2 linked regions of the Drosophila melanogaster genome follow. The gene in region 2 interacts genetically with the main gene of each other region. Each region holds a gene or a part of one and is shown on either strand. Other genes may lie near its edges.

Evidence for each region. A genetic interaction does not mean that the proteins touch.
Region 1: of Rgk1 (region 2) and rut, changing one enhances a phenotype caused by changing the other (phenotypic enhancement), as found in Drosophila melanogaster (one study listed by BioGRID).

What each region holds. Positions count from the first base shown.
Region 1 is NC_004354.4:14,821,951-14,828,024, forward strand, and holds the start of rut (rutabaga), read right to left. Parts: upstream 4,124-6,074; 5' UTR 4,012-4,123; intron 3,956-4,011; exon of another isoform or gene 3,796-3,955; intron 2,978-3,795; 5' UTR 2,839-2,977; intron 1-2,838. Other genes in the region: CG14408 (uncharacterized protein), read right to left, coding at 5,838-6,074. UniProt on the Drosophila melanogaster protein: This is a membrane-bound, calmodulin-sensitive adenylyl cyclase. Inactivation of this cyclase leads to a learning and memory defect.
Region 2 is NT_033778.4:19,352,359-19,359,554, reverse strand, and holds the start of Rgk1 (Rad, Gem/Kir family member 1), read left to right. Parts: upstream 1-3,029; 5' UTR 3,030-3,347; intron 3,348-7,196. Other genes in the region: CG11961 (uncharacterized protein), read right to left, coding at 1-369, 1,055-1,159.

The DNA.
Region 1 (6,074 bases), on a different chromosome or scaffold from region 2:
ATGCTAAACACATCAGATTTATATTTAATTAAATAAGTTACACAATAATGTGTAAACTGATCAACAAAGATCACAAAATAATTTTTATCATCTAAAGTAACTGGAGTAATAGGCCCACAGACATCTGAGTGTACTACAAAAAGTGGTCTTTTAATATGGGTCTTATCTTTCAATTGTTTAAAAGGAAGTCTTGCCTGTTTACCATTTAAACAGGGTTCACAAATTTCACATGATAACTCTAAGTTGTTTAGAAGACTTTGATCACTAAACATATTCTTTCGTTTTATTTCTAATAATTTGCCATCGCTTATATGGCCAAACCTCTCATGCCATAAACGAAAATTATTTTTATGCTTAGCATTTATAGAATATGCTTGAAAATTGATCACAGGTACATTGTTTAACATACCTGAATTTTTGACAACCATTAACCCATTTTTCGAAATGGTTACACCGCTTTTGTCAAATTCGATCGACATTCCTGCCTCTTGGAGACGCTTTACGGACATCAAATTACCAGCAGCTTCCTTACAAAAGAGTACATCCTCCAGTGTAATCTCATGGTCATTCCGTAGTCGGACAATACCACGCTTAGTGGCATAAATAAATTCGCCTTGCTTGGCCACTGCAATCTTAAGTGGAGGCACAACCTCCACACTGTCGGTATACAGCGACTCATCATTTATAAGATGGTCACTAGCACCAGAATCAAGGACAAACCCGCAGTTGTCCATCACTGAAGTATTATTCACTTCTTTTACCATAAACGCAATGCCGTGTGATGTTGCAGTTTGAACTTGTTTTTCATTTTCTTTATTTTTATTATTTAATATTCTTTTATAATGGAAACAATCTTTTTTAATGTGGCCTTCTCTGCCACAGTGGTGACACTTGACTTTATACTTTGAATTTCCCTTGAATATTTTCTTTGGTTTAGTTACCCGATTTTTAAACAAATTATTTTTATAAGTGTTATTATTGTTGTGCACGATCGCGTTCATAACTTTCTTGCTTGTATCGTTGTGGTCATTTTTAATTTTAATTTCTTGATCCAGCAATCTATTTTTCACAAACGCCAATGTCAAATTTTCTTCAGATAATGTCTCTATCGCTGTAATAATTCCATCGTAACACGAAGGCAATGTGATCAGTAGATGAGAAATTTTATCCATCTCTTCTATTTTTGCACCAGCTGCCAACAATTCACTTATAAGTTCGTCAAAAATATGAAAATGGCTTAATAGTGACATCTCACTCGATAGCTTCAGAGAAAGCAAACGTTTTCGCAGCGCCAGTTGCGACGCCAAACTTTTTCGTTCATAAACGGCGTCCAAATTCTCAAGAATCTGACGCGCCGTAATGTCGCTTGTTGCGAAATTTAAAAACGAGTCGCTTAGGTACTCTATTATTGTACTTTTTGCACAACGCTCTGCCTTTTTCCAGGAGTCATCTACCTCGTTAGGCATTAAACCATCAACTACTTTAAGCACATCTTGCTCGGCTAAAAGAGCCCTAATTCTAAATTTCCAAATCGCGTACTTCTCGCCATCAAACGGCTTAATATTACGTTTAGCCTTGTCCATTTTTCACTCAAATTCTGAGAAGGAAATAATTTCACAAGAATGTGAAAAAAAAAGCTATTTCACAAGAATGTGAAAAAAATGCTATTTCACAATTTATTTTCACAATCTTTAATTCACAATTTAATTGTTTATTAGGCATGGACTGGGCCCATAACCTGTTGTAATTTATAATTTATATTTCCTTTCTTAATAAATAAATAAATAGTCAAGTTTATGTTTGAGTTTTATGATTTATATTTTAAGTTATTTCAACTGCAACACCAGCACCACGACCTACTCACAGCAAAAAACGTACAAGAAGGAAAGAAGGAATAAAAAGAGTGGTATTCTCTTACAATATGTTTTATGGCATAAAAGGTGTGGCCATTCATATCAAATATAAAGTAGTGTTGTTTAACGTTATTTTTGTAGGTTGAATAGTATATTCCAACAAACACAAATATGAAAAGTCGGCGGGGCGAAAAGAAAACACATGTGTCAGCTGCTGCAGCACACACAATTTAAAACTATAATATTAAAGGCAATTTGTTAAAAGGGTTGCAATTATTTATAGCCATCGCCCTAATGATTCAGATAATAAATGAGCTAAATAATTCGAAATCCCTAGTGAAAATCTATGAATAGAAGCCATTTAAACTGGCTTAGAAGCTACAATTATCTAGTCAAGTCATTAGTTAGTCAAATACACAGTTAAGTAGTTGTTATTAATAGCCATAAATGTATGATCATCGTAAAAATGATTGGTCATAAACTAAAAGTCTTACTTTTTATCGAAACAATAAAAAGTAAGCTAATAACGATCAGCAGTTAAAGTTGACGGATTTGTGTTATATCCAACTGGAATCTAGTTAAACAACAATTTAAAGATAATAATTGTTTATGAAAAACGCTATAAGTAGTTAGTACTAATATTAATTTTATTTTCCTTTTTTGGATAAAATTTCAGTTCTACATATATAATAATATTCATGTTATTTAAATAGGATTTTCGATTATATTTTTCATTCTATTTTTGCTTTCTTTCTTTCTTTCTTTCTTTTCAATAAAATATTAAATTTTATATACATGTATTGAGAAAATATAATATTTACTTTACTCATATTCTAATTTGTATTAAATATTAAAATGAATAAAAACGTTTCAACCTTCTCCCGATTTCATGTGTATCTTATCCATAACTACGTATATATGTACTTCAGAGATGCAAAAGTATCTTAGTATCTCAAACTGAATTTCGTCAAAGGAAAACACTTACCCAAAAAGCAACAACGATTGTGTTGCAAGTTGACTGCTGCTGCTTCTTCTTCTTCTGTTACTTTTTTGCCTCCTTGTTCTGTATCTCTTGTTGTTGTTGTTGTTATTATTGTTGTTGTAGGTCCAAGATGCATAGATGGCTGAGCGGAGAGTAAGAGGGTGCGAATGAGACAGCGATAGGGAGCGAGTGAGAGAGCAAGCGAGTTGTAATTGAATGTTTGGCTCTTAATTAAAACAAGAATTGTGACAGCCACGCTTTAAGGCGGGGGGCGTGGCAAGCCCAAGCCTAAGCCCACTCCCACACACTCTCTCTCTCTCTCTCTCCCTTGGTTATTGCTTTTCTTTGCTCTCTCTCTTCGCGTGCCCTTTTTGATTATCTAATCCTTGGGGCAGGTGACATTTTGCAACTTTTGGGGAAGCGGAAGTTGTTGCCGTTTTCTTGTGCTGCCGCCGCTGCCAATACCGTTATCGATTTTTTGCGGCAGCTTGTTGTTGTTGTTGTTGCCGCTGCTGCCGCCGCCGTAAGCCGAAAAAAGGCGTGTGTGTGGCAAAGAGACAGAGGAACGTGGAGAAGAGAGGGAAAAGCCAGTGGCAAAGCGCATCCATGGACGGCACACACACACACACACACACACACACGCATTGGCATGATGAGAAGAGTGGGGGAGTGTGGAAAACGGGGAGAGAGGAGAGCCGAAAAGGCCAAAGCGAAACGAGTTAAGACGCAAGACAATGCAGATAAAAGCGGCAACAACGACAACAACAAACACGGCCAAGAACGGCAACAACAACCACAACAGCAGAAGGCGTCGCGGTGCGCTCTTCTTCTTGCTCTCCTTCTTTATCATCTGCTGGCAATGCATTCGTGTTTTTTGTTGTTTTTTGGGTTTTCGGTTTTTCTTGTTGGTTTTCTTTTATTATTATTTTTTTTTTTTTTTTGGAAAACTTGAATCTTTACCAGCTGCGTTTGGAGTTTTCCTGCCACTTCTTAAATGCGCGCGCGCATTTCCCACGACAAAAAGAAAACAAACGACCAGCGAGACACACAAAGTGGCACTTTATAGAACGAAAAAAAAAGTAGAATGTGCAAATACACCAGCACCGAAAAAAAAAAAGAAGAACAACAGTTAAGATCGCCGCGTTATTTAACCGCTTTTCCTTCCACACAACTCACGACGCGATTTCTTCGGATTGTTTGGCTTGGTTTGTTTGGTTTGTTCGGTTTCTCTTCGGCTCCGCTCGCTTCGGATTTGGTCTGTTCTCAGCAAAGCGTTGCAGCCAAACTAAAGCGTCCGTCGGCGGTTCGTAGCGAACCACTGCGAACCGAGTGGCACGAAGCTGCACGAAGTTGCACGAAGCGTTCGTCGGCGTGCAGCGAAAGCACTATCGTAGAGATGGGGCGCCACTGCTTGCGATAGCCCAATCGATATATCGTATATCAGCTGGTGTGATTTTAAATCCTATTATCAGCGTTATTTACAATATATACCAATTTCAAATTGATAGATGGAGATCGAACGTTGTGGTTTTTAAAGTTCCTGATCTTAATGCGTACATGTTCACTTATATGCAACTTGTATGGCGAATAAAAGTTGAAATGCAAAAGCTTTCAAAAGTCTATCGCCATGTCTTACATATTATCAGCAATCAGCTGGTTTTCTAGGTACTGTGTTATTATAGATTACTTATTGATTTTGAATATAGTTTTTAATATTAAGTTAAAATATACACCAATTAATCAAAAATTTTAAATGGGATTTGAGTAAAAATTAATGGGCATAATCATAGAATAAGTTTTTTATTTGGTAGGAAATACTAAACTAGAAAATACCAAAAGGCTGAAGAATGGTGGTCAAATGAAATTTCTAAAATAGAAAACCGTTAAAAGGCAATGCTATATTATTTAATAACATAACACAAACTAGTCAATTTTAAAGTTGATTTTTTACGTATTATAACAAAGAATGAAACTAAAGCTTTATAGTTACCAATTAAAAATGGCAGCCCCATTTTATTCACTAACTGCCCAGTTTTCGAAATGAAACATTCAGTTTTGTATAATACACTTCATATAATTTTATGCAGGTATTTATATATGCAATTATTTAACACTCAGTGGCGCAAACAGAAGAAAACCGAAGAATTCGCGGACAATTTGCAAGTCGCTTGTATTTCAAATGTCTCCATAAAGTAATATTGCTGATTCGGCTTTTGGTGCGAATTGTCAACGCACTCCTCGTTTTCTTTCAGTGCACACCACATTTACCATTATTTGTACACTCTTATGTATTTTTGTGGGTTTCTTGTAAATCATTTTGCCGAATATTTAGCTCGTACACACTAAAACTATTAAACTGATTTCGTTTTTGTTGACTAGCATTTAGTTATTTGCTTTTTGTAAACAGCATAAAATGTAACTTTCTTAATTATGTATATGCCACTACATAAACTAAATTATTGCACATCATTTATTTAGGATTAGAACATAGTTTGCCACACGTGCCTGAGTGCGTTGGTGTGGATTTAAAAAGATTCCTGCTGGCTCATCCATCATCTCGCATCCATTTCGATCCACCTGGGATTGATGTCTTTTTGTATTTGAATGATATGTACGCTACGCTTTTGACTAATTGGATTTTTTGGATCGATCGTAAGTATGCCCTAATACTCATAGAGTAAAATTTTGCCATAATTTTCATATTTGTATGCGTGCAGTGATGGGGGAAGTTGTGTCAGCGGCCAAACAAGAGTTTTCTAAATTGAAGAAAGGTACTTTCGAAAATTCCGTTACAAAAATGCTCAAAAATAGTGCATAGTTTTGAAACTTTAAATACTTCTTGTGGCACTTTCGATCATTATCTATGAACTATATTGCAATTATTCATTTAAAAGTGACTTTTCCCATCACCGCATTCATGTGTGTGTGTGTGTGTGTGTGTGATGGTGAGGCGGTTTTGGTGTTGATTTTTTTTTCTAAGTGTAGGGTATTTCGCTGTCGGCTCAAAACAGCAAGGCTCCAACCACGTTTAGTGCCTGGTGGTGTTGCTTTTGTTGTTGCTTCTGCTGCTGATTCTGTTGTTGTTGTTGCTGTTGCTGTTGATGTTGGTGTGTGTGGTACATGCTTGTGGTTGTTGTTGGCGATTTGAGTTCCTCCACTATAATGGCACCATTCTCATCCACCAAGTGATTTAATAGTAAATTCTCAACCTGCTCATCGGACAGTAACTCTTTTGGCTC
Region 2 (7,196 bases):
CATGGACCAGTGAACATAGCTACCGGATGCCACCTGAACATCCACTTCAATATCGTTGGCAGTGCCGGATCGAATTTTTTGCATCTTCTGGGAGAGCATCTTCAAAGCGGCCATCTCATTCTGTCGACTGCCCACCACTCGGGGTCCCAGGCTCACTAGCTCCCGTAGATTTTTCTCTGCGCGCTCGGCGATGAACTGGTCGGGATGCGTTTCCTCATCCTGAATGGTCAGTGGGCGGGGAAGGCGGTGGCAGGCGGGTATCGAGATGGTCACATAGAGCAGCAGCCAGAATCCAAAGAAGGCGGGTGCCCAGAACCACTTAATCTTGTTTCCCTGGACGAATGCTCGCTCACAGCCATTGGGCTGAGCCTGAAATGAAGCGGATAAAGATTAATTCAATTAAATTCAAACAACTTAATATGCCTGCAATGTCAGTATTGGCTTTAGGTCACTTATCTTATACGGGACTTCCGAAAACTAGGCATGTACATACATATTGTATATCTTTTAATCTTGCCAATGCCCCCTAAAGATATCTAATTTTCGGCACGGTTTTATTCACACCGAATGGATATTACCCAAAACTTCGTAGTTAGATACACCTACGTCTGGCCGCAGACATGAGTCAATTTCGAAATTGGAATCGACTATAGGTATCAAGTCGAAAGTTAGATTTAATCCATCAACGGTTATCTTATCGCTGGTCAGCCCGCCAGTTGCAAAACCTGTTGCCACCGAAAATCGAATTGGTCACAGGTGGATAGTATAACTTCTTGTGTTGGGAACTGCTCCACTAAACTAAGGCCAGACAGATAGATAAACCGAGGGTGCAACTAGGGCGAAATGGTGCGCTGCTATCTCAAGGGTATCCACTGTTCGTTAGTTATCGGCTTTTCCCTGATAAGTACATGCCGCCAAAAAAAAGTCGATTCCCTTGGAACTCAACCATGGGTAATGCTCATGTTGCTGTTTGGCTGTTTGGATCGGCGGTGATTAGCACATACCACACCCAATTGAAGAGCAATCTAATCAAGGACCCAAAGTGGGTGCTTACCTCATACTGCTGGGAACCGCGGGGTCGTAGCAATGGATCCACATTCGTAGGATCGTTGGTCGGCGTAATGACGCGACGCCGTACATTCTTCTCACTGCCACTCATGTTTCCGGATAACGATGCCCGGTATTTTGGTCAAGATCTCCCAATGAACCGATCGCGTCGGCGTCCAACGCTCTACTGAACGTTCCACTGCATTGATTATCCTAACGTACCGGTCTCAAATTCCCTCACAGAGACAAATAACTTTTTTATTCTCTCGCCCACGATACAATGTTTCTTATCTATCGGTTCGTCGTACGAACCGTATACAATAGTTCGAAATATGTTTATGGCTACTCAGGGTACAGGGGGTTGTGGGGGGCTGGATTTTCATTAACAGTGGACTGCGAGAAATGCCTACATAACTTCCGCTTGGATTCATAATTCATAATTCTGAATTTGACCAAGTCGATATATATCAATTAATTAGAGCAGCAGCATTATGAGTGCAAGCCCACATCTTATCTTTTTTTACACATTGAAAAAATAGGTATATCAATCTGTATTTATCATAGTAATAATGGCTGAATGGTTTTTTACTTGCAACGATTTTATGAATTCACTGACATCTGCATTATATTTTTCTAAGTGCACTTTGCATTCTAAATCTGCATCCGTACCTTCGATCTTTTCTCCTCCGTTTCGCTGCTCATTCCGAGGCGCTCTTCTTCTTCCCGTATCTATATTGTAGCGAAACCGGCCTTGTTGTTTTTGCCGCTCCGAGTTTTAGCCGCCGAATGGTGGGATCAAAGTTTCCGAAGCGCGGTTTTAATACCGCTCGAGCGCAAAGCGCTGCGGCACTAACTGAATTATTCAAAATAATGGTCAGCGTTTTGTTGACAGTTCTTAGTTGCTAATATTTACACTTTTCACACAGCGCATTATTTTCGTATTTACTTGGGCAAATGTGTGTGTGTGTGGTAAACAAAATAATTGTGTGCGACATTCGATAAAGATAGCAATCGTTTCGATTGTCTATCGCACCCAAGCGGTTCTTATCTGATTCGTAATTGCATACTTTCGGGCGGCAATTTGGAAACAATTTCACACTGGCCAGCAAAACGACCGAACAGCCGAACAAAAAGATAGGGCACAACTAAAAGCGGTAAATTTGCTCATTTACAGTTATGCGCCCTCATGCCTGTCTCTCTCTCTTTCTGGCCTGCATGTGCATTAGAAAACGATGACGTGAAAAGCACAGGCACACACACGCATGCAGCGGGAGCATCCCGTTTGGAATTGAGGACAACGTGGAAAACATGTGCCATAAAACGGGAAATGCAATAAAGGCGGGGGAGGTGCAGGAAGGGGCACTTAGGCGCAGTGTCATTCAACCTAAATAAGGAATGCCCGAGTGGGTGTAACCTATGTGTGTTTGTGTGTGTGTGCCAATTGCTCTCGCGAATTCATTCACTCACTAATACACTGACTCCCGCACTCACTTCTTCATTGATGCCTTGTGGCACTGAAATTCGTAAACAAAGCGTTCACCGGAACACGGACCGAAAGGATAATCGATAGAATGAACGCCCAGGAACAAGTGTATGGGAATTCCGTGAGAGTTTCACAATCAGAGCTACGAAAACACTGACCAGCTAGTTTTGGCCGTCTTTTGTGGCTAGTTTTAGTCGAACGGAAAGCGAGAGAACGCAGAAAGTACGCATGCGTGTGAGAGCAATTGCCGGTTTGGGGACACAACCAAAACAAAGCGAAATATGTGTCAGCTGCTTCTTCGCCCGCCTTTTCGACACAAATTCGCGCGTCCTCGTGCTTTGCGTACCCACCATCACCACCCATTCAACGCCTATCTTCCTAGCACGTTCATTTTGGTGGTGCCGCTCCACCCACTCTCTCTCTTCCTCTCTCTCTCTCTCTCTATCCCACTTTCTCCATCGTTCAGTTGAGCCGCTTGTCCCGCTGTTACTAAAGTCTCAGTCGCGTTTCAACGCTCGAAGCTTTTGGTCGTGCTCGCTGCCTAGGAACAAATTTAAGCAGAACGAAAAAAAAAAATAAATTAGGACTCAAAGTGGGATCCCTAACGGTACTAAAAATGTGCTTGGAGTAAAGAAAGGGGCCGCGTATCTATGTGCGCGCGTGTGTGTATGTGTGCGTCTATCTCTCTGCCTGTTCCGTTTGCCTAGCTAAAAATAAAATTATATAATTTTTAATAAAAAAAAAGAATAACAGAAAGGAAAGCACCCAGCGAATGCAAATCGTATGCGGAGCGAGCGGAAGAAACCGTACTGAATTTGTGAGTAACAGCCGCGGGATTGTTGGGGCAAAAAACACGTGAAATGCTTGCCTGCTTTACGGAGGCGAGTCATTTGCATTCAAATACTTGACTTTCATCATGTCTGCGAAAATATTGGATTAAAAAGCGTGGACCGTTCATGCAAATTGTTGTGATTTAATTCTAATTCACCCAAAAGTCAGATACAATCAAGTGACACAATAACGAAATTCCGTACTAAATTCCAGAGTTGAGTTAGGGTGCAAAACTTTAACTGTCTGCCCCATATTTATTGCAAATCAATTAAAAGTTGTAATCAAAAGTTTACGAAATCCAACTTTGGTGAAGCGAAATTTGTTAGTTTGCAACTTTTAAATTGGCTTCCACATGATAGTTTCTATTTATTGATTCCTATTAAATGTCCTAATAGGATTTGGCGCTCCTAAAATGAAAACCTTAATTTGCGGGGATTACAGGTCGTTGACCATAGCGATTATCATTAGCCTGCCGTTAAAATCCCCAACCCCAGTGAAAAAATGTCCTTTATGCGACAATAACTCACACCACAAGCCAGCCAAGTTTTTCCTTATTTTTTTCCGTTTACTTTTGTGGGTCATAATAAAATTTTTGGACAATGACACAATAGCGGCAAATCAGTGGCAGGATATGGAGAGAACAAAGCGCACGCAAGGAAGTGGAACATGAGAGGAATAATAAAGGAAAACAAAGGACGAAAAACAAAACAAAAACTGGTAAAAACCAGAAAAGTTTTCCAGTTAAAGTTCTAAGTAGTTGGCTCAAGGAGAGTTTTTCCTTAAAAAAAAAAAAAAACGGAAACAATTTCCAGATTTGGGTTGACCTTTTTTGTTTTTTAGTTAAGATTGCCTCGGTTTTCAATTTAGCCTTTTCATTTTCATTGGCACCTATCGAAACAATTTTGTTATAATTAGGATCTGCTTAGCTTTCATTTGAATAGTATTCCAAAAACTTTTCATGCGATCTAAAAAACGGAATGCCGACAATTGTTAACAAGCGTGGAAAATGTCAAGGGAAAAGTTCAAGTCCTTCGGGGGCGGTACTCCTGGGAAAGTTTTCCATCTGCTGCTGTTTTTGGGAGACAAAGGACCGGATTTCATCGAATTTCAGTCCTTGCTAATAGCGAATCGAAGCTGAGGCTCATGGGATGAACGCGCTGTGCGGCTGCGGATAATGGATAATGGGGGAGTAGGTCTATTTTGTCCCCACACAACTTGGTTTTGGCTCCCTGCTTATCCCCATGTACACTTGACTGGGCCTGCTGACGATGCTTTTATTCTATTACACTAAAAATCAAAGGAGATCTGCTATTTGTTATCAGAAAACTTTACTATTTTCAAGTGATTTTGTCGCTGTATACGCTTTTGTTTTTAACTTAACATATTCCTTTAGTATATAATATATGCATTTTGGTAGAATATTCTTTCAGTGTTCCTTTGCTTCGTCCGCCTTTCCCCGTTTCTCGGAGTGCGTGTGTTACGCTTTTTAATGAAGTCATTTGAAGCGTTCGCTGATTCGTTTGTGATTTATGAGCAGACGAAGCAGACACAGGATGAGACTCCCCTTTTTTCACCCCCTCACACACACACACACACACACACTCACAAACAGGTGACAAGCATCAATCAGTCGGATGTTGTTTTTGTGTCTGGATGGGCATGTGCATGTGTGTGTGAGTCTAGTTCACTTGTCACGATAATTGCTTCAAAATTTCTGGCCCAGAAGCTAACTGGATTAGGCTAATTGGCTGCCAGATGTTTTGGCTTTGGAAATTCACCTGGTCTTAAACACAGAGGAGTCGTTTTGAATAACGTTAATTAAGGCGGAGGATTGCTGATTGCAAATTAAGCAAGTAAATACAAATCAAAAGCGAATGTGGTGTTCGCCCTTTTGTTCACGTGATTTCACTGCATTACAAACAGTGGCTTTCCAATTGAAAATCGCTGTTTTACCTGCAGATTTCACTCATTAATTAATTACATTGATATAATTGCGCATACGCCGTGTAATCCCCAGATTAAAACTTACCCATTTTCCTTTGCTGAAGGATTTTTTAATCCCCAAATTAAGTGCTTGTTGTAAGAGCAGTGCCCTTGTTCTCATATATATTTCAAGTTGGCGAGTCAATAACCTAATCATACTTCGCTTGCATATATATACCACAACGTTTGGACTATTTCATGCTTGATTAAGCCAGCAAGCAAGCACAAATACTTATAGCTCAATGTCTAAAGTTGTATTCTGCCAACGGCTTTGGCAAATGGAAATGGCTTCTGAGCAGGAGTGGAATCCGCCTCATCCTTCTCAAATATCGCAAGGCATTGACTTATTCGTGCTGCTGGATTGCAGTGCAGCTTTCCACCCGGCCAATGACTTTTGTGCTTGGCCAGCAAAAGAGCAATGCATTTCAAGGGGACTGACTCCGTGCACAAAAGCAATTGTGATTCGTGGCAGTAGCAGCGCGACTGCATTTGAAACAAATTTTTAGATAGCTTGACAAAGAACTCAGACATTCAAAGATAACCAGGACTTCGCAATCATTTCTAAAGGTGTCTAAAAGCATTCAAAAATGTAATGAATACCTTGAACTTTCGCTTTAAACATTCTATGTTGAATACTTTTGAGCACTAATACAAGTGAGTTAAGTGAAGAATAATGCAACACTTAAAGTAATTAATTTTACATCTTTTTTTTAGTCTATTTTATATCGTGTGAAAGAGTATATCTAGCAGCTATTGTGAATCATTAAAATATATTTCTTGTGTATGTTCTTTGGTCAAGCCATGAAGGGGAATCTTATTAAGGACCACCGAAAGCAACCACAAAGAGACACTGCTTGGTCTTTGAGTACTATGTTCTGGACAGGATAATCGAATCTGTTGTCCAGGTAACCTTTTGGACGATTGAGTGGATGGCCGTGGCGAAAAAGGTTAAGTCAGTCTGGCTTGCGAGCATTTAATGATGTTTGGCAACCACTTTGATGGACAGCTTTATTCAAGCGGTTTAGTTCATTTTTCCGGCTCATATTGTTTTCTTCGGATATACGATGTAATACCGAAATATATGAGAAAATTTCTGCTCAATTCTGTGCAGAATTTATTCACATTTATTCACACAGAGCCGCTTTAATGAAGAGCCTTGAAGAGCGAATCGTATCCCTTTTTGAATATTTTTTTTTCCCCCGTATCGATTGTTTGAGTATGTGGGCATTGGCGATGAGCTGACTATATCTGCTGCTGATGTGTTGGCCTAATCATTCGACTGGAAATCGTACAAACAAAGGCACGCCTTTACGAATGTTTTTGATGTTGAGTGAGTGGGACTTTGACTTGTGGCGGTATGGGCGTCCAGGGGATACATCCAGAAGACCGTTGTTATCGGCTCATCAATTGTGTCCTGGCCGTTATCCCTTGAGCTTTGTGACCCTCTCGTCGAGCAAATAAAGTTACTTCGCCATCGCACAAAAGTTGGCCTACATCTAGTTAATTAAGTAGCTATTACAGAGCCAACAGGCCACATGAAAGCTACATTCCAAACTATATTAAATACCACAGCTCACACACTTTTTTGTTGCCTTATTTCAAAATGTATAAGCTAGCCAAAATGATGTTTTAAGCCCCTATTATTTTAATTCAGCGCATTGTCAATTGAACAGAAAAACGATAAACCAATCAGAAAATAATTTAAGTCATTTTCGGTTAATGGAAATTGATCATCTGAAGTTCTTTAACAAATAATGCAATTATATTCGATTGCACGGTTGATAAGTGATTAATCTTTTTTCGATCGGGAATTTATTTATTTCAATTTTAGCATTTCAATTTTTTCCCTGAA